Linked DNA regions of Rhinolophus ferrumequinum. The protein of the gene in region 2 interacts with the protein of the main gene of each other region in a pairwise test. Links are inferred from orthologs where the notes say so. Each region holds a gene or a part of one and is shown on either strand. Other genes may lie near its edges. The genes, in order: MBD1 and CHAF1A.

Region 1 (12,057 bases), on a different chromosome or scaffold from region 2:
CGCAATCAGAAGCGGAAGTAGTTGTGGGCACCTTTGCAACCGCCGCGGACACCGTAGAGTGGTGTAGGTTCGCGGGTCGCTGGCGGGGACCGCGAAGGAGTGCGCAGAGAGTCGAGAGATGGTGAGTACGGGGTCCCGGGAGAGGGTTGGCGGTAGAGGTTAGTGGGTTTGGTAATGGTGGGGTCCTTCGGCAGACGCGTGGGGGGTCTGTGGTGAACCGTAACTGGAGTCTGGGCAGAATTGAGGGGGCCTGTGGAGAGCCTTAACAGGGTTCTCTGGGAGGAATGATGACTGTCGGATGGTCTGATGGTTTTTCTGATACGTGAGCCATGTGGGAATTTTGTGATGAGCCATTGTGGGTGTCCGTAATAGAAGTTTAGTGAGGAACCCTGATGGTAGTTCCTTGGGAGTCCGAATGGGGGATTCTTTGGGCAGAGTGATAAAGAGTTTGCGATGAGCCATGTTAGGTAGTCTGTAGTGCACCGTGGTGACTCTGTATCAAGGAGTCCATGGGGAACCAGGATGGGGGCGAGGGTGACTGTGGGGTTAATAACGCGGGATGTGTGGGGAGCTGTGATGCGAAGGCTGTAGCTGAATTACGAGATGTTTGTGAGAACGCGTTGTGGGCCGGGTCTGTGAGGAGCCACAGTGGGGGCAGTGTGTGGCGAGCGGTAGGGTGTTTGTAACGAGCTTTTATGAATGTGTGGCTAGGATGATGGGGTGTCAGCGAGGTAAGTATGGGAGGTCTGGGGCTGAGCAATGGGGGTTTATAAGCAGAGTAATGGGGTGTCAGGGGTGATTGATGTGGGGGTCTGTGGGGACCATGACGGAGGGATTTATGAGGCGCCAAGATGGGAATTCTGTTGGCAGAGTGTTGGGGTCTATGGTGAGCCCTGGTGAAATTATAATGGAGGGAGAAGATGCTATGATGGGGGTCCTCTAAGAAGCCATAATTGGGGGGATCCCACAGGAGGGTGACGGTTCAGATCCAGAGCCTCCAGATGCTGGAGAGGACAGCAAGTCGGAGAATGGGGAGAATGCACCCATCTACTGCATCTGCCGCAAACCAGACATCAACTGCTTCATGATGTGAGCCAGGGAGAGGTGGGCGGGACTGACAGCTGGCAAGGTTGGGTGAGGCCGATGGGTCCCGCCCCTCACATCTGCACCACTCGCCTCATCCTCTGCAGTGGGTGTGACAACTGCAATGAGTGGTTCCATGGGGACTGCATCCGGATCACTGAGAAGATGGCCAAGGCCATCCGGGAATGGTACTGTCGGGAGTGCCGAGGTGAGGGGCGCGTGGAATGGACTGGGTAAGCAGGTGGGGCTTTGAGGGAGGAGAAGGAGCCATAATGGGAGGCTGGGTCTCAGGGAATAGTGATACGTGTCTGTGGGCAGAGTGATTGTTCTGTAGTGAGCAATAATAGAGAGTCACACTGGAGGGGGCAGCTGTACTCTGGAGTAGGGGGACAGACCATTGGGTGGGACAGGAAAGAAGAGGGAAAAAGAGTTCTGGGATAACCCAAATCCCCAATGTCAGCCTCCCCGGCCTCATCCTCTGTTCTACAGAGAAAGACCCCAAGCTGGAGATCCGCTATCGGCACAAGAAGTCACGGGAACGGGACAGCAATGAGCGAGACGGCAGTGAGCCCCGGGATGAGGGTGGAGGGCGCAAGAGGCCTGCCCCGGATCCAGACCTGCAGCGCCGGGCGGGGTCAGGGACAGGGGTTGGGGCCATGCTTGCTCGGGGCTCTGCTTCGCCCCACAAATCCTCTCCACAGCCCTTGGTGGCCACACCCAGCCAGGTGAGTGGCTGTGGTGGCAGGGATAAGTAAGGTGATCCCATCTCAGGCCCAACTTGGGTTCCTGACTTGTGTTCTGGGCCCCTTCCTTCAGCATCACCAGCAGCAGCAGCAGCAGATCAAACGGTCAGCCCGCATGTGTGGCGAGTGCGAGGCCTGCCGACGTACTGAAGACTGTGGCCACTGTGACTTCTGCCGGGACATGAAGAAGTTTGGGGGCCCCAACAAGATCCGGCAGAAGTGCCGGCTGCGTCAGTGCCAGCTTCGGGCCCGGGTGAGCATGGGCAGAGCTGGGCAGGGTCAGGTTAGGGGGCCAGTGTGTTCAGGAAGAGCTCATTGAGCCTAGGATGGGTGGGCTAGGTGGGGTGGGGCCTAACTGCATAGAGACAGGTGGAAAGGAGCCAGGCTTGTCCAGGTGAATGGGGCTTGGCCAGGTGTGCTGGGCTAGCAGGGGAGACCCCCAAACCCAGGAAGTCAGGGTAGGGCCAGATGTTTCTAGGTCGTCAGACATGTCAGAGCAGGAGGAACATGGCTCAGCATGTCCTAGTGATGAGGGGTGGGGGGGCAGGTGTGCCTGGGTAGGCAAGGTAGGGGCTGGTTGGGGGGGCCAGGCACTTGTGGGAAAGGCTAGGGCAGGGCCACCCTCCATCCACCTGGGGCTGACCTGGGCCTTCTCCTGCCGGCACAGGAATCGTACAAGTACTTCCCTTCGGTGAGTCCAGCCCCCAGGGCGGGGCGGGGCATGCGGGCAGGTTATTCAGGGCCAGTCCTGAGATTCTGCCCTGCAGCTCTCGCCAGTGACGCCCTCAGAGTCCCTGCCAAGGCCTCGCCGGCCACTGCCCACCCAGCAGCAGCCACAGCCATCACAGAAGCTGGGACGCATCCGTGAAGACGAGGGGTCAGTGGCGTCATCCGCGGTCAAGGAGCCACCTGAGGCTACGGCCACACCTGAGCCACTCTCAGATGAGGACCTACCACTGGACCCTGACCTCTACCAGGACTTCTGTGCGGGAGCCTTTGATGACCACGGCCTGGTGAGCAGGCAGAGCCACCCAGGGTGGAAGGGGGGAGGTTACAGAAGCAGAGTATCCATAATGAGGAGAGAGGAGGCAGATGGTATGGAAGGCTATTTGGGAACTGAGTAGGTGGTGGGGAAGTCATGAGTGGGGCAGGTGGGTCACTGTATGCTTCACTTGCAGCCCTGGATGAGTGACACAGAAGAGTCCCCATTCCTGGACCCTGCGCTGCGGAAGAGGGCAGTGAAAGTGAAGCATGTGAAGCGTCGGGAGAAGAAATCTGAGAAGAAGGTGATGGAGAGGGTGAAAAGGATGTGGGAAGGAAGAGGGCACGGGCTGAATGGGGCGAGAGCCAGAAAGGGGTGGAATGCAGGGAGAGATGGGGGTCTGGGCTGACGTATACTGTCCTGACCTGCCTTGTCCCATAGAAGGAAGAGAGATACAAGCGGCATCGGCAAAAGCAGAAGCACAAGGACAAATGGAAACACCCAGAGCGCGCAGATGTCAAAGACCCCGCGTCACTCCCACAGTGCCTGGGACCTGGCTGTGTGCGCCCTGCCCAGCCCGGCTCCAAGTATTGCTCAGACGACTGCGGCATGAAGCTGGCAGCCAAGTGAGTCATTCTTGGAGGGTTCAAGGCAATAAGGGAGCATAGAGTAGGACTTGACCAGATCCCTTTGTATGTCTACCAGTCAGTTACCTGTCCACCATTCAGTCAACCACCCACCTATCCATCCTCCATCCATCCACCGTTCGGTCACTTATCTGCTCATCTATCTACCCTTCAGTCACCTATTTGCTTACCTTTCACCGTTTAGTCACCCATTCATTCTGCCATTGTTGGCTGACCCCAGTTGCTCATCTCTCGATTGCCACCTTCCCACTTACACTTAACCCACTGCTCCCTACAGCCGCATCTACGAGATCCTTCCCCAGCGTATCCAGCAGTGGCAGCAGAGCCCTTGCATTGCTGAGGAGCATGGCAAGAAGCTGCTCGAACGCATCCGCCGTGAGCAGCAGAGTGCCCGCACCCGCCTTCAGGAAATGGAGCGCCGATTCCATGAACTCGAGTCCATCATTGCACGTGCCAAGCAGCAGGCTGTGCGTGAGGATGAGGAGGTGAGCAAGCATGCGCATGGCAGCGCAGGGCCCAGTACTGGTCCTGCCGGGCCTCATTCCTTCTATTCCATGCAGAGCAACGAGGGCGACAGTGATGACACGGACCTGCAGATCTTCTGTGTCTCCTGCGGGCACCCCATCAACCCGCGTGTGGCCTTGCGCCACATGGAGCGCTGCTATGCCAAGGTCAGGGTGTCAGCCTGAGAGGGGCACACGGTGCAGGAGTATCACTGGGTCCGTGGGGGACAGATGTGTTGTCTTGGGAGGGCATGCAGCGCATGTCCACAGTTCCCTCCATTTGTGTTCATCCTTCCAGTATGAGAGCCAGACGTCCTTTGGGTCCATGTACCCCACACGCATTGAAGGGTGAGTGTGGGTACTCTGTAGGGTTAGGGCTGCAAAGTTAAAGCTGGGGTCAGAAGTGGAATGTTGTGGCAGGATATGGGCATGGGCAAGGATAAGTGAGACCTCTTCCTTCTCTCCCCCCACTACGCTCTCTCTTTTTCCAATACCCAGGGCCACACGACTCTTCTGTGATGTCTACAATCCTCAGAGCAAGACATACTGTAAGCGGCTCCAAGTGCTGTGCCCTGAGCACTCACGGGACCCCAAAGTAAGGTTTTCCCTCAACTCCCCCCATTCTGACCCTCCTACCTTCCTCACCGCTCCACCTCCTTTCCTTTTCCCACCTGACCACTTCCATAACTCACACTTTCCCTGCCTCATTACCCTTCATTCATCTTCTTTTGTACTCTCTCATCATCTCCTTTTCCTCCCCTTTTCCCTGCCTCTTCATCCTCTGTTCCTCTCCTTTTCCATTCTTCACTCTCCCTTGAACTCTCCATGCCTTCCCTCCTTGACCACTCCTCATTCTTATTTTCCTTCCTGACTTAGCACCTCTCATTCATCCCCACTCCATCTCCCTGCAGGTGCCAGCTGATGAGGTATGCGGATGCCCCCTTGTACGTGACGTCTTTGAGCTCACAGGTGACTTCTGCCGCCTGCCCAAGCGCCAGTGCAACCGTCATTACTGCTGGGAGAAGTTGCGGCGTGCTGAGGTGGACCTGGAGCGTGTGCGCGTGGTAGGTTTTGATGCCGGATGTGGCCAGGGTGAGGTGGGTCTTCCAGAACTCCTTCTCATGGCTCTTCTCCCCTGGCAGTGGTACAAGCTGGATGAGCTGTTTGAGCAGGAGCGCAATGTACGCACAGCCATGACAAACCGGGCAGGATTACTGGCCTTGATGTTGCACCAAACAATCCAGCATGATCCACTCACTACCGACCTGCGCTCCAGTGCCGACCGCTGAGCCTCACTGGCCCAGACGTCCTCACACCCTGCATTCCAGGCGTGGGAGCTTGCTGGAATCCTCTTGCTGTTTGTAATGGTCCCTGAGTTTTTCCTTGTGCCCGCCCACCATTTGACTGCCCATCAGCCCTTACCAGAGGGTCTCAGAATTTCCTCCTGTCCTTGTCTTTCCCATTTTCTCTCCATTTTTTGTTTCTGGGTGGGACTGTGGAGGCTGCTCACTCTTGCTCAGCCTCCCTGGTTTTGTTAATAAAATTTTGTGAAGAACCAAGAAAGAGAACCACTGATGGTCTCCCAACTTTACCCAGTTGCAACTGCATTCCCAAACCCCTGGGGTAGATGGGCCGTGGCACACCTGTACTCATGAGGGACTGCACTGCAGTGCATGTGTAGGCTGAGTATACAACTGGCACCCACTTGGTGCAGGTTCCCTCCTTGAGCTGTGGGCATACGACCTGCTGAGGGAAGAGCCCAATGGCCCACCATTCACAGCCTCATTTTGAGACAGTCCAGTCAGCACTCGTTCAGTGTGTGGCTAATCGATTTACTACTGCTGTGTGAGTGTTAATATTCTCCAGACCAAAGGTGTACCCGATGATCCCAAGGCCCCCTCTTTCCCCACGAACCCCTCTTTGGGGACATGTATGCAGCAGGAGTCCACTGACTTTGTGCCAGAAGCCTCACCCCACTCAATCTGCTTGGCAGGTCCAGTGGGGCTCACAGCTTGGCCTTTCCAGGATGGACCTGCCCTCATCCGTTGCATGGACCTGGCCTTTTGTTTACCTGTAGTGTGGCACTGCCCCCTTCCCCAGTTCTGGGGAAAGAGCTGGGGCCAGCTCAACATAACTTGTCTCTGCTCTCCTGCAGCTGTTCAGTGGGGAGGAGAGAGCGGGATACAAGTCTTGGGGGAGGTGTTCATAGGGACTGGGGCACCTGCGCGACCTAGGCGAGAGGAGGGCTCCAGCACAAGACCAGGCATCGCCGTGCCTCCCTCCTGGTTACTCCTTGTGGAGACCTAGCGTGAGCTTTTCATGACTATCAAAGTATCAGTCTCACACGTCTGTTCCACCTCCTGCCCCCCACTCTGGTTCAAGCCGTTGTTTCTCAAGTCTAGTTGTGTAGGACACAGCTCCCTGGCCCATGCTGGTGTTATGAGCCTTGCGCTCCCCCGGCTGAGGCAGTCGGTCGCGGGTCGGCGGCTCACGGCAGCTCTCATAGGCTGCCGGCCACGCACGCTGGCTGCACCTGGCAGCACACGGTAGCCCACGGCAACACAGCAGCCCAGGATGAGTCGTCGTTCACAATCTTCGGTATAAAGGGCGCAGCTCACTGGTCCATATGGGAATGAACCAGTCACCTAGGCGTTAGGAGCACGGCGATCCAACCACCTGAGCTATGGGGCTGCCATATGTTTGTTTCTACAATGTTAGACTTTATTAGAATTAAAGCCATGGATCTAGTCGTACCGACTGGGTTTACCACAGGCATCAACCAAGGCTCTGGCCAGAGGATAGCCTCCAATGGTCGAGGTAGAGCAGTTTCACACAAGAGGTTTGCAAGCAATAGGGTTAGGCAAGGTGAACAGTCTTAGGAAAGAAGGAGAGAGTCCGCTGTTCACCGAGAGTCGCTGGAGTGCTTGGGTGTCAGGCTGGGCAGGTGAGGCCGTCAGGAGGCAAGACTGCAAGCGCTCGGTCTGAGATGAGTGCAAATGCGGCTGTCAGTTGAGGCCTGAATGATGAGCCCTCAGAGAGCTCTGTTTTCGTTCTCAAGCCTGGGTGCGGTGCACCCATCTGTAGTCAGATAAAGCCTTCCAGATGGTCACTCTCCACCGTGCGCCTGGATAGGGTGTTCTGGTTATCTGGTTTGGGCATTCACTGGGTATGCCTTTCACGTGCTCTGGCATGACTGTCACTTTGTGACTGACATAACTATCAAAGTCATAAGTAACGCTCTATACAAGACCACTTAGGTAAGGAATTCCACGGGCCAACCCCAACCCTCTACGCCCCCTCAGGTTGGGACCAGAGAGCGCAGGCGCAAATAAGGTGGGCGGAGCGGGGAGAACGCGCTGGCGGACAACGCCAGAAGCGCACGCGCTGCGGAGCTCGGATAGGGACACGAGCCGTAGTTGGACTCAGCGCGCAAGCGCAGCTCGTCCTGGCAAAGGGCGCGCGCAGCTGCGGAACCCAGCACGCAGGCGCAGGATCCTCCCTATTAAGGGCAAGCAGAGGCGGTCATTAGCGCGCAGGCGTCTCGCTGGGAGCGGAACCCGATAGGCGGGCCCCGGATTTCCGGTGTCGGGGGCAACGAACGGCCGCGGCGGCGACAGCTACCGTTTCAGAGGAAGCTGCAGCAGAAGAGGAAGAGGAGCAGAGCCAGGCGGGAGGTACAGGCGGGACCCTCGTCATGGGTCCGCGGACCTAGAGCGGCGGAAGCTACCGGCCCGAAGCCGAGCTGGTGAGACAGTCGTGGGGGTGGAAGTAGAGAGCGCTCAGGCGGAGGATGGTGAAGAATTGAGGCTCAGAACCCTGACGGAGCGGGCCCTCGGGCCGATGAGTGGGAGGAATGGCGGCGTCGGAATATTGAAGTGGAGGAATGGGTAGATTTTAGACGGAGGACGGAGAGAAATGGGGCTCAGAACGCTGACAGTGGAAGTGTCGGGATCCTGGACGAGGACGGAGAGGAGTGGGGGAGGATCCGAGCGCTCAGGGGAGACATCGGGGCCTTTCACGTTAAGGAGAGAAATAGGTGTTCAGACCCCTGAGGGGAAGAAATGAGGTGCCCTCAGGCTGATGACGGAGAGAAATAGGGGCACTGGGATGCTGAAAGGGAGGAACGGGTCTGTTATGGAGGACGAGGAGAAACGGGTCTGAACACTGACAGGATGGCATGGTTCTGGGACAAGAACAGAGGAATGGAGGGTGTAGAATGCTGAGGGGAGAAAGCAGGATCTTTTAGGTTCATGAGAGGAATGGAGGATGAGGACGCTGAAGGGAAGGAGAAGAGAACTTCCCGGCTGCAGAAGAGAGGAATAGAGAGGTTCGGGGGCGAGATGGGGAGGAATTGTGGCTCAGAACACTGAGAGGGGACACAAGGGGGGAGGATTTCAAGCTGAGGAACAGAAGGAATGAGGGGCCATTTAGGTCAGGGTTATGGAGGAGTTGGGGACTCGGGCAGAGGACAGAGGAAACCGATGTAGTAACGCAGAGATAGCAGGATAAAAGGACATCACAGGGAAGGAATGGGAGGGTTAAAAGGCCGAAAGAGAGAAATTAGGGACTCCTGGGTCAAGGAAGGTAGTGAATGGGAATGAGAATCCTGACCGAGTGCCGGGCCCTCAGTCTGAGCAGGAGTGGAATGGGAGCCGCTGGGCCTGAGGATGGGAGGGACGAGGCCTCTCAGGCTGAGGATGGGGAGTATGAAGGTCTTGGGGACAAAGGAGAGGAGTAGAGGGCCAATAGGTGACAGAAAATGTCTCGTGGGCCAAGGACAGCGAGAATGAAGGGAAAGAGTGAGAGCCTCCTAGGTTGTCATTGGGCAGAAATGATGGCATCTCAGGCTGAGAATGGGGAGGAACGGGATCAGGACACTGCGAGTGAGGAATGAGGACCCTTGGGTTGAGGACGGGGCTATCAGGTCACAAGGGTGAGGAGTGTCAAGCTCCTGGGCCTGGGACAGGGAAGAGTTGGGTGGGAATGGGGGTTTTCTCTTCTTTATGTTGGCCAATTGCCTGTGGCAGGTCCCAGGTCTTGGGCAAGTATTAATAGATACCAGTGGTTTGTGTGGCTTGGGGCATAACATGTCACCTCCTAGAGCCTCAGTTTCTCCCGTTGCTCCTCCATGTTGCAGGCCGCTGCTCCTTCCCGTGGTCCCCATGGCTGAGGAGTGGCTGGACTGCCCAGCCCTGGGCCCTGGCTGGAAGCGCCGGGAGGTTTTCCGCAAGTCAGGTGCTACCTGTGGACGCTCAGACACCTATTATCAGAGGTACTGGGTGGGTTGTGGACAGTCAGGAAGGGCTGAGCCTGGTTAGGCAAGGTGAAATTGGGTGTGGTTAAATTTATGGGTGGAGCTAAAATTATGCATATATAGTCAATCCTTATTACTTGCAGATTCTGTATTTGTAAATTTGCCTACTCACTAAAATCTGTTTGTATCCCCAAAGTCATTACTCAGCTGTGTTTTCGTAGTCATTCGTGGACATGCACAGAACAGCAAAAAAAATTTAAGTCGCCTGGTGCACGCACTCCCAGCTTAGGTTGAATGAAGCGTTATTTCAGCACTTGTACTGTATCAAGTCCTTTTCATGGTCTACTTAGTACCAAGCTTTTTGAATTTTTGTGATTTTTATTGCTGATTTTGCTGTTTATGATGGTCCTAAAACTTAGTGCTGCAGTGCTATCTAGTGTCCTAAAGTGCAAGACGTCTGATTTGCCATAAGAAGAAAATACATGTTAAATATGCATCAGCTTCATTCAGGTGTGAGTTGTAGTGCTCTTGGCTGTGAGTTCAGTGTTAATGAATCAAAAAATATGGTACATCTAGAAAAGAAAGAGGACGTTTTTCAATTTGTATGTGAGGCTCCTCCAGAAAGTGCTAAAGTAACATCTGTAGTACGTGATGAAGCTAAGGAAAAGGTGGGAAAGTGGCTAAATTCATAGATCCATGAAATGATGAACAAATACAAAGTGTAGTGGACAGCACTGTGAGTCCTGAAAGCCAAGGACATTGATGGTCATTTCTTACCCAGGGTTAAGAAAATGTTAAACCTATTACTGCTAGTGCGGGCTGTCTCACAGGTTTCAAAAGGTGATAACGTTGTTAAAAATGTGAAATTTTCTTGCAAGGCAGGTTCTGCAAATCAAGAGTGCTGAAGATTTTTTAAAAATACCTGCAAAGTGCTACATGGGAAAAGGGTTGGGTAGAAGAGTAGATTTTCAGTGCTGGCTTGTTTTATAAGGACGTTGGCAAAGAAACCTGTATAATGCAGATGGCCTGCAAAGCTTCTGGCTTTAAATCAGTCAAAGCCATGCAGTTCATTATTTGTAAGAAGAAGATATTAAGTAGGGTGTCCTTTAAACAGAAACACACAAAAAACAAGGTTACATAGGATTAGTTTACAAGAATGTTGTGAGTAGAGGCTTGTAGGAACCTAACCTGTAGTTCCACAAGGAACAGTGGTTCTGTATTCACTAATTCAGCGTAGACTTTATAGAACCAGATGACTTTATAGAACATAACTACGATAAATAATGAAATTCAACTATAAATACACAAACTTACGTGTTTATAAACAGTTTACATTTAAGGACTTACGTTACTTTAAGGTGTACTAGTGAGGGAGGGGATGGGGAAGAAGGTGAAGGGATTAGAAAGAGCAAATTAGTAGACACAATATAGTCACGGGGATATGAAATACAGTATGGGGAATATAATCAACAATGTTGTAAGTATTATGTAAGGTGCCAGATTGGCAGTGGACGTATCAAGGGGATCACTTCATACTGTAAATGCACGATCAATGTGATGTACAAGTAAAGCTAAAGTAGGATAAAACTGTATGTCAACTGTGACTGTATGTGTGTGTGTGTATATATGTGTATATATGTGTGTATATATATATATATATGTGTATATATATATATACATATATATATATTTATGTGAGGTGGAGATAGCATAAGGAAGATAGTCAATGGTGTTATAACAGTTATATAAGATGTCAGAGGTTGCTGGTTCGATCCCGCATGGGCCACTGTAAGCTGCGCCCTCAAAAAAAAAAAAAAAAGATGTCAAAGGAGTAGTAGCTTGGGGCGGGGGCTTATCACTTTGAGAGGAGTGTAAATGTCTATTAAGTTGCTTTGTACACCTGAAACTAATAATAATAAAAAGAAGATATACTAGTGATATACTAATTAAATTTTCTACACTCTTCATGAACCTTTTTTGGGTCTAAGTTGCTGTTTTCCTGGAGGAATATAATAACATTACAAATACAGTTACATTTATATTTAGTTGTACATTTATTCACATATTTACAACTTGTATAAACGTTCAACATTGATAAATGTAAGTGCAATTATCAAGAATTGTAGAGGATCTGAGATTTTTACCCTACTTAGGTTAAGATAACAAGTGTCAGTTTAGTGGATGCTGGTAGGAGATAAGAGATTCCTGGATCAGGGATGAAAGAAAATTTATTACTCATAGCAATAACAGTATCCAGAATGTCATAATTTTTGTGTGGGTTCCCAGAATGCCAATTCCGACAGGGTCACATGAAGAGGGCTAACTAGCACACCTGTACCTGTAACTGGGTTGTATTGTGGGAAAGGAACCCTGAGCTTAAGGAATCCAATCTATTATAATGTTAGGACAGTAAGGATGTCTTCCCTTTTCTCTGGAAGGAGACCCTTTCTCTTACCTTCTAGGGTTGTTTGCTGTATAAACATCCTTGCAAAAAATAGTAGCAAAGGACATTCATTGCTTCTCTTGCAAGACATGCAGAAGTACCGTGTTTCCCCGAAAATAAGACCTAGCCATACCATCAGCTCTAGTGCCTCTTTTGGAGCAAAAATTAATATAAGACCTGGTATTATATTGTATTATACCCAGTCTTATATAAGACTGGGTGTTATATTATATTATGTTATATCATGTGATATTATACACCTTGTCTTATGTTAAAATAAGACTGGGTCTTATATTAATTTTTGCTCCAAAAGATGCATTAGAGCTGATGGTCCGACTAGGTCTTATTTTCAGGAAACACAGTACAAGGGATCTGTGGAGTATTGTCTCCCGACATTAGTTA
Region 2 (11,736 bases):
GATGGTCTTCCCTAGGTGAGCCTGCAGCTGCTGAGCTCAAGGGCCCAGGGCGGGACCCTGCTCTCCAGACATCGCCTGTCACCTGTCTTTCCCAGTGCACGGCTTCCATTACTTTTATTCACGCTCAGGTGAAGGGGTTACACATTCTAGATTTCTTAAGATCATTCCATGTTTATTACTTAATAGGCCAAGCACTTTGCTAGGAAATCAAAAGCATGATTCCACAAACTGAGGTTTAAAAAACAGGTCAGTGCAGGCGGTATCTACAGATGTTCCAAACACTAGCCACGTCCTCCAGAAAAATTCTAACAGGTTGGGGTCCTGGGTCCCTCAGCCCTCCTTCTACCCCACACCTCTCAAAGGAAGTTCAATCTTTCTTCCTAGGCCCAAACCCAGGGTCTATTGAGCACCCAACAAACTTCAAGGCTATGGGGTATAGCGTCCTCCTAGCTCAGACGGAACCAATCTTTCAGTTCAAACTCTCTCCCTCCTTTCAGGCCAAAAAAAAAAAAAAAAAAAAAAAAGGTCAGGCCAGCATTCCAGCCAGCTGCCAGCTCTATCCCTAGTTACACTCTCAAATCTCCACACCACCCAGCCACAAGAATTATCAGGAAACCAGTTAGCAGCTTAGGCCTGGAAATCAACGTCTCCCAAACACACGACAATGACAAGTGAATTTTTGAGTCTGGATCTCACTAGTAGGGTTCCTTTACCCTTCTTAGCTCCCCAGAAATAATCATACACAAGCATCTTCCCCAATCCTAGCCATGCATAAGTACCAGATGGCTATTGGAGGAGTGGGCATTACACACGGAAGCCAGAGGGGCCCCAAACAGCCCAAGACAAATGCCTATTTTACTGTTTTCCTCTATAAATTCAACTTTCCTCAGCCCAGGCCCTCAACCCAGCCAGTGGCCAATTCATAAGAAGTAAAAACTCACAAACCTCCCACTCAAGCCCAAACTGATTTTATATACAAGACCTGAAAGAAAGTTTTCATCTGAGATGAAATGGTATGGAATTTGCCAGCATACTGCCCGATACAGGCAGACCTCGGAAACACTGCAGGTTTGGTTCCAGACCACGGCAATAAAGGCAGTCCCAATAAATCAAGTTGTAGTCTTTTTGCTGGTGTGTGTGTGGGGGGGAAGGTGCCTTCAATAGTAATTAGTTTGTTACCAGCATCATCAATGAGAATAGAAACTTTTAATTAACATCATAGCCTCACCTGTTAGAAACCAAGTTTCTGTTCCCAGCTCTCTCCCACATCCACCTGGCTTCTATTTCTCAATTTAGAAACAACACTGTTACAAGCCTTTGAAATCAAGAACCTGTTTCAAAGCAGGATTTCTCAACCTGGGCGCTACTGACATTCCGGGCCAGATACTTTTCTTGTTCCGGGAGGGCCGTCCTGCGCATTGCAGGCTGCTGAGCAACCCTCCCTGGTCTCCACACACTCGAAGCCGGGAGCACCTTCTCCCCAACTCGTGACAACCCAAAACCGTCTCCGGGATTGCGAAATGTCCCCAGGAAGGTGCACAGGGGTAGAGCAGAGAGAGCAGGGATAGTCAGCCCTGGCTGAGATGCACGGATGCAAACTTACACCTTCTCAAAAATACCAGATGCCAAAGACACTCTGGGGTTCTCAGGATGTGGATGCTGAGTTTTCTGTACATGTCCATCTGTGTATATGTGGTTATCTGTGTGTTAACAACTGGGAAGCGCTGGCAGCTGCCACAAGAGTGGCTCAGGTGGGATTTTTGTTGTTGTCTTTGTACAATGGCCCTCACTTTTCTCGCACCTGAAAGCAGGATTTCTCAACCTCAGCACTGCTGACATCTGGGGCCAGAGAATTCTTGGTTGTGGGGGCGCCCAGTGCACTGTAGGGTGTGAAGCAGCATCCCTGGCCACCACTCACTAGATACCAGTAGTAACCCAAGGTGTGACACCCAAAAGTGTCTCCCTATATTGCCCATGTCCCCTGGAGGGCGGAAGTGGCCCTGGTTGAAAAGCACTGTTCTAGAGGAGGATAAATGTCCCCAAATCTTTTTGTTTAAAAAGGGGAATACATTTACCCTTGGGCCAGATAAGTGAGGCCAGTTGAGACGGACTGGTTTAAAGCATTTACTGTCTGTTCACACTAAGAATTCAATAAATATTATTACTACATTAACAAGAGACATTCCTCTTCAACGGACAACCCTATTCTGAGGGCATAGAAGAGGATGAAAGAGGTATTCCTTAGACCAAGAGAAAGAAACACAATTAGATGAACACAGCCAGATAAACAATGGAGATGCTAGAGGACCGTGGAAACTATTGCAGAAGAGAATGGAACATAGCCAGGCTGATTTCCTGAGAGGACAACACAACCTGGAATTGACCAGGCGGCCAAGACGACCATGCAGGTTAGGACGTGGCCATCACAGCAGTTCTTTGAGGCTGGGCCTCAGCTAATAAACTGAAATGAACCACCAGCTTACACTGCACTGTGCTTGTCAGGTTTCAAAGCACTCGTCACAGATCTAAATGCAGGCCATCCTGTTTGCCCCTGACAGAAAAAGCTCTGGTGGCTGGCCTGAAAGGCCCAGCTAGTTCCTCTGGCATAATGTGTCTGATTGGGATGGGCCACCAGCATGGGCCCTGATAGCTGGGGGTGGGACAGGGAGGGCTCCCACAGACCTGTCTGCATGAAGGAACAAAGTGGCCCAGGAATTCTTCCAAGAACTATGGAAACATCAGTCCTGCAAGAGGGACTACATTGGGGTCCAAGACAGTGAGCAGCTTTCCCAGAAAAGAGACATCCAGTCAAGCACCCAGCGGTCTGCTGTCTGCTGGGCAGGGTCTAACCCAGGACCAGGTCACTTCATTCCATCCTGTTAGGTCAAAGGGCTGTACTCTCAGCAACAATCTCAGAATCCCTCGGGAGTAAGTCTCTCTTCCTCTAGGGTTTAGCCAACATCTGGGGTCTACAGACAGACTCCAAATATCTTTAGCTCTAGACAACCACTACGGTTGTGACTTTTCCCCTTGGGGGGCAAAAGGTACTAGCATGTGTTACTGGAGACGCATTTTTCTTCCCTCCCACTGGCCCTCTTCAAATTGGGAGTACAGCCCAGTTGGCCAGCATGGCCTAGACAATTTGGAGGATTACCACTCATTCCTCTATGGAGTCTATTCATAAAAACTCCACACCTATGGTTCTTAAGCTGGGATGCGATGCTGGGACTAGCAGTATTCAAGGAACCCAGGGCTTCTTGCCCCCGACTTCCCAAAAAACCTACACTACCCATCACATATAAAACACCTATATTCTTGGATTCAGCATTCCACTTCTGGGAATTTATCCTATAAATCCAATCCCCCCTGTGAGCAAAGGTATTTGCTAGCTATTCACTGCAGTATTGTTCATAGCACAAAACTACTGGAAACAGTATAAACATCCATCAATAAACGACTGATAAAATTAATTATGGTACACGTCATGAAATGGAATACCAGAAACCCATTAAAAAGATCCAAGAAGCCCTAGGGGTATGTTCTAGTGCAATAACTCTGGGGGAGAGGAAGGAAGGGGTTCCCCCAGGGACATCTGGCAGCGACCAGAGACATCTGTGGTTGTCACGACCGGGAGGCTGCTCCTATGAGTGAGTGGGGGCCAGGGATGCTGCTCAACACCCCACAGTGCCCAGGACGGCCCCCCCAACCACAGAGTGACCCAAGGTGGAGAATTCCAGCTTTAGTGTGATCTCCAAGACAGATTTAACAAAAAACTCAAAGTACATAGGACTATGTGGACTATGCTACACCACCTGTGTGTGTTTTTAAAGGGAAGGCGTACATATACCTTGGAAAGAGACACACATAAGTCGTTGGTGACAGTCCTTGTCTCTGAGGGAGATGGACTGAATGCCTGAGGGCCTGGAGTGAGAAATTGACTTTTCCCTCTACCCTTTCAACTTTGTACCGGGTCCATTGAAAGAGATTTTTTTGTTGCTGGTGTTTTTAAGTAGTTGTTCTAGACACAAAATTTTCCTGCCCCTGCGCTATCTGGCAAGAGTCGTGTGTCCACAGCCTTGGGACTGTTTCTTCCCTCTTCTCTCTCCCCCACCCGGCCCTTTCCAGGGAAGGCGAGGAGGGGTCCACGTCCCGGTCCAACCTCTGGGTGCCTCTCTCTGTCCCAGCCAGGGGTCTGCCCATCCTTCTCGAGAAGACTGGAGCCCACATGGCAGGCAAGGCCTGGGCCACCTCGCACCAAGCCCCCGGCCCTCCTGGGCTCTCCCCACCCTGCGAGGGACACGTGCCCTCGGTGTCCCCGGCCACCTCCCTAATTAGGGCCGGGCCTAACCCGACCCCTAATTCCGGGAAGCCGGGGCTCCGGGACTCGCCCTAGCTATGGCCTCCGCTTACCTGGCTCGCCTTGTAGAACTGCTTCTTCAGCCCCGCCACCGACATTCTGCCTTCCGCCGTCCGACCTCCCGCCGGGACCCAGCGAACCGGAGGGACAGCGCAAGCGACAGGCTCCCGGGCGCCGCCGACCCCCCGTGCGCCTCAGCGGGCCCCGTCGGCACCGCCTCCGCCGCCCTCTTGCCAGCTCCGCTCCCACCCCTGCGCCGCCTCAGCCCGTCGCGCGCCCGCGCGGCCAGGATATTACATGGCAACCGCACACTTCCGGCCCCGTCTGCGCACGCGCGCCCCCTGCTGTCCGGAAGGCGCACGCGCACTTCGCTTGCTGCGGGAGCGGCCGCTTCTGCCAGCGAGTGGACCCGGGCGAGCCTAGAGCGGCCCTGGCGGATGCAGCGTCCCCTGGAGTGCCGGAGGTGGCTCTAACGTCTTAGGAAATGCGCTTAAGCCTTTCTGGAGAGGTTGGGAGACTGGGTTTCAGTCTCCAGATACCTGTTTGCTAATCTCAGCTATACCGAATTCATCTACGCGTTTAGTCCCTCCTGTCTAATCCCCAACCTTGCCCCATCTTCATCCATTCGGTTGCCCAAGTCAGACATCAGGGTGTTGCTTCTACTTCCTTTTCACGATCCCCACTGTCCTCTCTGCCCTGACCAGACCACTGCACCAGCAGCCTCTTCTTTGGTGAGCCCACCTTCAGGTTTCCCCCTCCAGTTCATCCCTTACCAGGAAGCCAGAAATATGCCTCTGTAACATGATTCAGATCACAGTCCCCTGTTTAAAGTCTGCCTACTGCCCTTAGAATACATTCCCAACTTCCTAACATGGCCTACAAAGCTTGCACAATTTGGCCCAGTCAACCCTCTGATTTCGGCTCTCTTCCTCTTCTATTGTCCATGATCCCTGTTGCCTGTGGGCCTTTGCTAAAGTTGTACCTCTCTTGCACATTCTTCTCTAATCTTCCCCCCCCCAACATTTGTGTATAAGAGGAATCTGCTTGGAATGTCTCCTGCTCCAGGAAGCCTTCCCGGATTGATACATATTTATCAACAGTGACTTTTAAAATTAATTCTTATTGATGAAAACATATTGAATGAATTTGAAATTAATAATGAGTTGGAACAAGTAAAGAATCCAAAAAGAGGAACAAGAAAGTGACTAGAGCTAAAGTGCTTGCAACTTCAGTGCTGAAATCTCTGACACATTTTCTGAAGCAGAAGGGTACTGAAAGTTTCCAAATGCCTAACAGAAGGTATGGACTACATCAGAGGATTTTTTTCAGAATATGCATGCCCCCACCTCCCTCCCAAAGATTTTAATGAGGCTACTATGAATGATTAGAAAAAATAGCCCCTGTGATTATGATGGACACCCTCAACGGTGATCCATGGTCTAAACATTGCATAATCCACTGGTCTAAATCATTGCATAATGCCAAAATATCAGAGAAGAGAGAGAAAACGTCCTCAGGGTTCACATGGGGAAACTGAGGACTTTAGTAAGACATAAGTTGCCCAAACTGATGTCCCCAAATTTTCAATTTCTCCAGATTGCTTCCAACTAATTCTACTGATTTAATTTTATTCAATCTATAGTATCAATAGAATTTCAAATTTGGACTCCCTTTCAGTCTTCTGCTCTGCTTGAGAGATTAAATTTTTGCTGAAGTAAACCTGTTTCTAAGGCTTGCAGGCTGACACCGAGTGTTGTGTGTGAGGCTTTTAACCTACACGGATCACACAGTCCAAATGATATTTATGCATTCACGCAAGTATTTATTGAGTACCTACTAATGTATTAGTCATTGATAGGTCCTGGGGATACAGTGATTCATGATTACTGCCCTCATGAAACTAATGACAAAAACAGAAATTCAGTTATTAATCATGTAACAATTATGATTAATCATAAACATAAGCTGTAATTGCTTCAAGAAAAAGAACGTTGTAGGCACTTTTTGTTGGGGGTAAAGGAAAAAAGGTTTCTCTGAGGTGTCAATCTAAGATCTGAAAGATAGGTAGAAATTAGACAGGAAAGGAGTTACGGAGCTTTCTAGTTGAGAAAACAGCGTGTGCAAAAATCCCGAGGATTAAACCAGAAAAATCCATTTCATTAATTCCCTCTGAATATATTTACTGCGTATCAAATGCTTCTGAAGTATTGCCCAGATTTTACTTTATTTTTGTTTATATAAAAAGTAACTTAAAGTTTTAATTGCTGTTGGTATGTTTAGCGGATGTCCTATTAGGATACACCCACAACTTCAGTCTTCATCTAAATCGCAGTTTCAGGTTGTGACGCCGCTGCACGTAAAACGTTTCGTCATGACCCTGGCCCTCTCGCCTATTGGCCTAGCCCACGCACTCAGCCAATCACAGTGACGATCTCTCAGCTTGACACTCTCCACCGCCAATTGAAGAACGCCTCCTGCCCGCCAATGACGAGACGCCGGGAGGAAGACCGCCACTCCGCGGGAATATCAAAAGGGGAGCCAAGGGGGAGGAAGGGAAGCCACGGATCTCGCGAGGATGCTTCCAGCGCTCCCTTCTTCCCGAGGCGGGACGTCACGTGATGCGGCCTCGTCCAATCGGCTCGCGGGCTGCGGGGGTCGCAGCGGTTCCCGCCAAATACGAGCGCGGCGGCCGCGGCAGCAGCGGCGCGGGCGGGAGGGCGAGCAGTCGCGGCCGCCGGAGTGGAGCCAGCGTCTCCGCCGCCCGAGGGGAGCTCGAGCCGCCGCCGGGGCGATGTTGGAACAGCTGGAGTGCGGGGCGCCGGCCCCTAGGGGAGCGGCCGCAGGTCAGTTCCGCCCGCGCGGAGGGGAAGGGGATACGGTTATCGGCCTGTGCGGGCCGAGGAGGCGATTGGGGGCGGAAGGGCCTACTGATCCCGGGCCGCTTCTCTGCGCGGTGCGTTCGGTCTGTGAGGTCGTTACAATCTCGAGGAAGGGCCTTGCGACCCGAATGGCGCCCTCCCTGACGTTATTGTTGCAGCCGCGACCATTTTTTCCCCGTGCTTTGGCGTTAAGTTCGTTTTTCTAGGGCCCTTTGCGGTGACGGGTCGGTGTGGCCAGGAAGGGAAACTGAGGCCCAGGGAGGTGAAAGGACCGATTCTGAAGGTTGCATTAGTCTCCACTGAGCAAGTTGGACCCTGCAGCGACCCTCTGGCCGGGTAGGGAAACTGAGGCCCAGGGTCACAGCTGCGTCTGCGGGTCAGGGCAAGCCCAGGTAAGACGCCTGGATGGTGGGAATGTCAGGGAGCTGCGACTCCCTGATTCTTGATCCTGGTGGATATACAAGGTGAAGACCTGTCTTTCTCTTCTGTGTGTCTTGGAAGGGGTTTTCTAGCACCTAACAGCCCCCCCCCCATACGTAGTGTGGTGTACCAAAGAAGACTAGACTGCCCTCCCCTCTGCTTGACTCCCAGCACTTGGCAAAATGCTTGGCACATAGTAGGTGTCGGATAGATATGTGTTGGTTGAATAAATTAAGAGTTGGCAGGGACATCAACTGGACTAATTCAGGGTTTCTCAACCTCAGCACTATTGACTTTTGGGGCCCTCCTGTGCACTTGAGGGTGCTGAGTGGCATCCCCGGCCTCCACCCAATAGATGCCAGTAGCAACCCCACCTCCCCAAGTTGTGACAACCAAAAATGTATCCACGCACTGCCAAGGGCCCCTGCGGGGCAGAACCACTGTTCTAATTGTTTCCAGATTTGGGGATTTCACAAAGACATAAAATTCATATAAATAAAGTTGGGACTGATTGTCATGGACAGTCATTTGACCCAGTAAGAATGTTTAAAAAGTAAAAAAAAGCATCACCTGCTATGACTGTACTATTATAAAAGGAAAGGATATTTTAATAGCAAGTAAAATTAGGTGGGGTATAATATCAGGATAAAGAGCAGTGGTGAGTTTATATGTGAATGTGTCTTAATTGTATGTGTATCTTTGAACAGTCTAGAGGTCCCTCTTGGTTGACCTAAGGTCTGTTCTACTTGCATCAAAGTTGGTGTCAGATCCATACCAATAATTGCATGGGAATCCATGTGTTTGGTAACTGAAAGCTTCAGAATGATAGTGTCTTGAAATGGGTAGAATGGAAATATGAGTCTTCTGGGTACCTTCCTTATATTTCCAGCTTGGAAGTGCGGAGGGTGGTTTCATCTATGGACAGCTGAGTTCTTTAGAAATCCCCGATCTTTACTTGTATATATGTTGTACAAAACATATGTAGATTACCCAAAATAAACTGGATTTCTCCAAGCCAGATTTCCTAGCAGGTGCAAGCTTCTAAACTTATTCTGACTGTTTAAAGATATTTGTCCAAAGACTTGAACTATTTGCTCATATGGTCATTCCTGTATCAGCTGTGATATTATGAGATGCTTCTCTTGAGAGTTTTTTGATGCAGGAAAACATTCTCCCTTATTATTTTTTATTGTTTTGTTTTAAAAGATTTTATTGGGGAAGGGGAACAGGACTTTATTGGGGAACAATATGTACTTCTAGGACTTTTTTCCAAGTCAAGTTGTTGTCCTTTCAATCTTAGTTGTGGAGGGTGCCGTTCAGCTTCAAGTTGTTGTCCTTTCAGTCTTAGTTGTGGAGGGCGCAGCTCAGCTCCAGGTCCAGTTGCCATTGCTAGTTGCAGGGGGCGCAGCCCACCATCCCTTGCGGGAGTCAAGGAATCAAACTGGCAACCTTGTGGTTGAGAGGATGAGCTCCAACCAACAGCCATCAGGGAGCTCAGCGGCAGCTCAGCTCAAGGTGCCGTGTTCAATCTTAGTTGCAGGGGGTGCAGCCCACCATCCCTTGCGGGACTGGAGGAATTCAACTGGCAACCTTGTGGTTGAGAGCCCACTGGTCCATGTGGGAACCAAACCGGCAGCCTTTAGAGTTAGGAGCACGGAGGGAGCTCTAACCGCCTGAGCCACTGGGCTGGCCCTCCCTTACTATTTTTTGACAGCACTTAAGCTCCTGCCTAGCAAGCGCAAAATGCTTTAAGTTGCATTACTTTCATAAACTCTATTTAAAAAGAAAATCCTATTCTAATTTTACAGAACTAGTTGGATTGGAGAAGAGGATGTTTTGGGGTCATATTAATAGTGACATCATTGATACAGTGTTTTCTCTTATCTCTGTTTTTATTTATTACCCCCTTCATTGTTGCTGTTACTGTATTCATTGATTTCATACTGCTGTGTTTCCCCGAAAATAAGACCTAACCGGAAAGTAAGCCCTAGTATGATTCTTCAGAATGACATCCCTGAACATAAGCCCTAATGCATCTTTTGAAGCAAAAATTAATATAAGACCCAGTCTTATTTTCGGGGAAACACGGTATGTGCCAGATCCCGAGCTAGGTGGTCCAGGCAAGTCTCCCCACTGTCAGGGGGGTGGGGAGGAGAGACATAATAAACAATGTAAGTTTCAGAGCTATAAATGCCACAGGAAAATAAACAAAGAAGGTGTGACAGTGTCCAGGGCAGGATTTCTTAACCTACTGACATTCTGGACCAGGTAATTGTCAGCTGTAGGTAGCTGTCTTGTGCATTGTAGAATATTCAGCAGTATCCCTCTCTTCTACCCAGTAGATGCGAATACTCCCTTCCGCCTGTCTGGACAATCAAAAGCGCCCCTAGACATTGCCAAAGGCCCCAGGGTGTGGGTGGCAAAGTCACCCCTACTGGACAACCACTTCGTACAGAATAGGTGCTACGTATGTATTTGCTCCTTCATTATTTCCAGCATGTAATAACTTATCCTTTGACACTTTTATTCACAGCCATGGATTGCAGAGACCGACCAGTCAAGAAGTTAATACAAGGTAACTTTCCAGTAATGGGTTAAATATTTGTTCCAAATTTATATTCTTCATTGTCTCCTTAATTATATTTTTAATTCCCCTTGAGCAGCATTCTCAGAGGTAGCATCAAGGGGGGGGGAAACAGTTGCACCTCACTTTTAGAAGCTGGGGAACCCATTTTATTGCACTACTGTTTCCTTAGACTCCCAGGAGCAAATCCAGAGGTCACTGCCTTTGCAGCAGGCTTTCTCTACTTCAGCACTATTGATACTTTGTAATTTTTTGGACTGGAGGGTGCTGTGTTGTAGAGAGTTTAGCAGCATTCCTCGCCTCCTCCCTCAAGGCATGACAACCAATGTCTCCAGACACTGCTAGAGGTTGGCTGCTGAGCACAGCTGCCCCAGATGAACCACTGTTGTATAGGAAGATAAATATCCCTAAACTCTTTTGTGTAAAAGGGGAGTGAATTTACACTGAGGCCAGATTAGTGGCTGGTTGATATTAAAAAACCATGGTTTCTGGTTTTTAAAACTTGGTATCTAGTTCCCCCCCAGCCCCGCCCCCAATAGCAATTTGCCTTCTCCTGTGACAACCGATGGCAAGTTTTATAAACTGATAAATTATGAACCCTACCCCCAAACCCAGCAAGGTCAATCATTTTTGAGCACATGGAATAAAGTATTGATCGATTGTTACTCTTCACACTTTCACTGTAAAGATGGCCTCCTCCTGTGTTTCAGCTCGTCTGCCCTTCAAGCGCCTGACTCTTGCCCCAAAGGAGAAACCAGAGGACGGGTTGGATGACACAAGAAGCTCTCCGAGCGCTCCTGCACAAAGTCAAGTCCCTGATGTCGAAACCTCTTTGGACAACTTGAAGAACAGCTTTCATATGGGTTCTAACATAGATTTTAGGCCAAAAATTGTCAATGGGAAGGGTCCCTTAGATAACTTTTTAAGAAATAGAGTGAAAACCAATATTGGGCAGACCACGGTCATCATTGATTTGGTGGAGGACTCGAGTGACCAACGAGACGCCACGATGGCCCACAGTGAACTAAATTCTGCATCCTCTCCCTCCACGGAGGCTGTAAATGGGCTCAGAGGAGAAGCTGGATATGCAGAGGGGCTGCCACAGGCCAGTCAGAAGGATGAGCTGACATTTCCTGGAGAGACCCTTTCAGACATTCTGTGCAAAACAGAGGACGATGGTGTTGCCGGCTCGGGGGGCACAGAGAGGAGCAGAGATGCACAGAAAGGCTCACCCCAAAGCTGCCCCCAGCTGACACACAGTCTGAGAATGTGCTCCGAGAAGGACCAGGATGGTTGGAGCGAAGCCGGGGGCATCCTGTTCAGAGGGAAGGTGCCCGTGGTGGTCTTACAGGATATCCTGGCTGCGAAACCTCCTGGAGCCAAGTCTTCTCTCACAGCCCCTCCAGACCAGGGCGTGCTCTCGGAGAGTGACGTGCTGGAGTCCGGCCCCGAAGAAGACTCTGTCCTCAGCCCTTCATCCCTGAGCTCTTCTCCTA

What was found.
Region 1: the proteins of CHAF1A (region 2) and MBD1 interact in binary tests that used the Homo sapiens proteins (3 or more experiments, as listed by UniProt). The link is inferred for Rhinolophus ferrumequinum from reciprocal best matches to the Homo sapiens genes CHAF1A and MBD1.

Annotation. Positions count from the first base shown.
Region 1 is NC_046302.1:41,088,555-41,100,611, reverse strand, and holds the start of MBD1 (methyl-CpG-binding domain protein 1), read left to right. Parts: upstream 1-7,508; 5' UTR 7,509-7,703; intron 7,704-9,095; 5' UTR 9,096-9,120; coding exon 9,121-9,230; intron 9,231-12,057. Other genes in the region: CXXC1 (CXXC-type zinc finger protein 1), read left to right, coding at 119-121, 971-1,089, 1,191-1,291, 1,573-1,808, 1,900-2,079, 2,494-2,517, 2,594-2,839, 3,005-3,112 and 7 more. UniProt on the Homo sapiens protein: Transcriptional repressor that binds CpG islands in promoters where the DNA is methylated at position 5 of cytosine within CpG dinucleotides. Binding is abolished by the presence of 7-mG that is produced by DNA damage by methylmethanesulfonate (MMS).
Region 2 is NC_046301.1:59,303,925-59,315,660, reverse strand, and holds the start of CHAF1A (chromatin assembly factor 1 subunit A), read left to right. Parts: upstream 1-6,881; 5' UTR 6,882-6,932; coding exon 6,933-7,200; intron 7,201-10,189; coding exon 10,190-10,231; intron 10,232-10,950; coding exon 10,951-11,736. Other genes in the region: SH3GL1 (endophilin-A2), read right to left, coding at 4,411-4,455. UniProt on the Homo sapiens protein: Acts as a component of the histone chaperone complex chromatin assembly factor 1 (CAF-1), which assembles histone octamers onto DNA during replication and repair.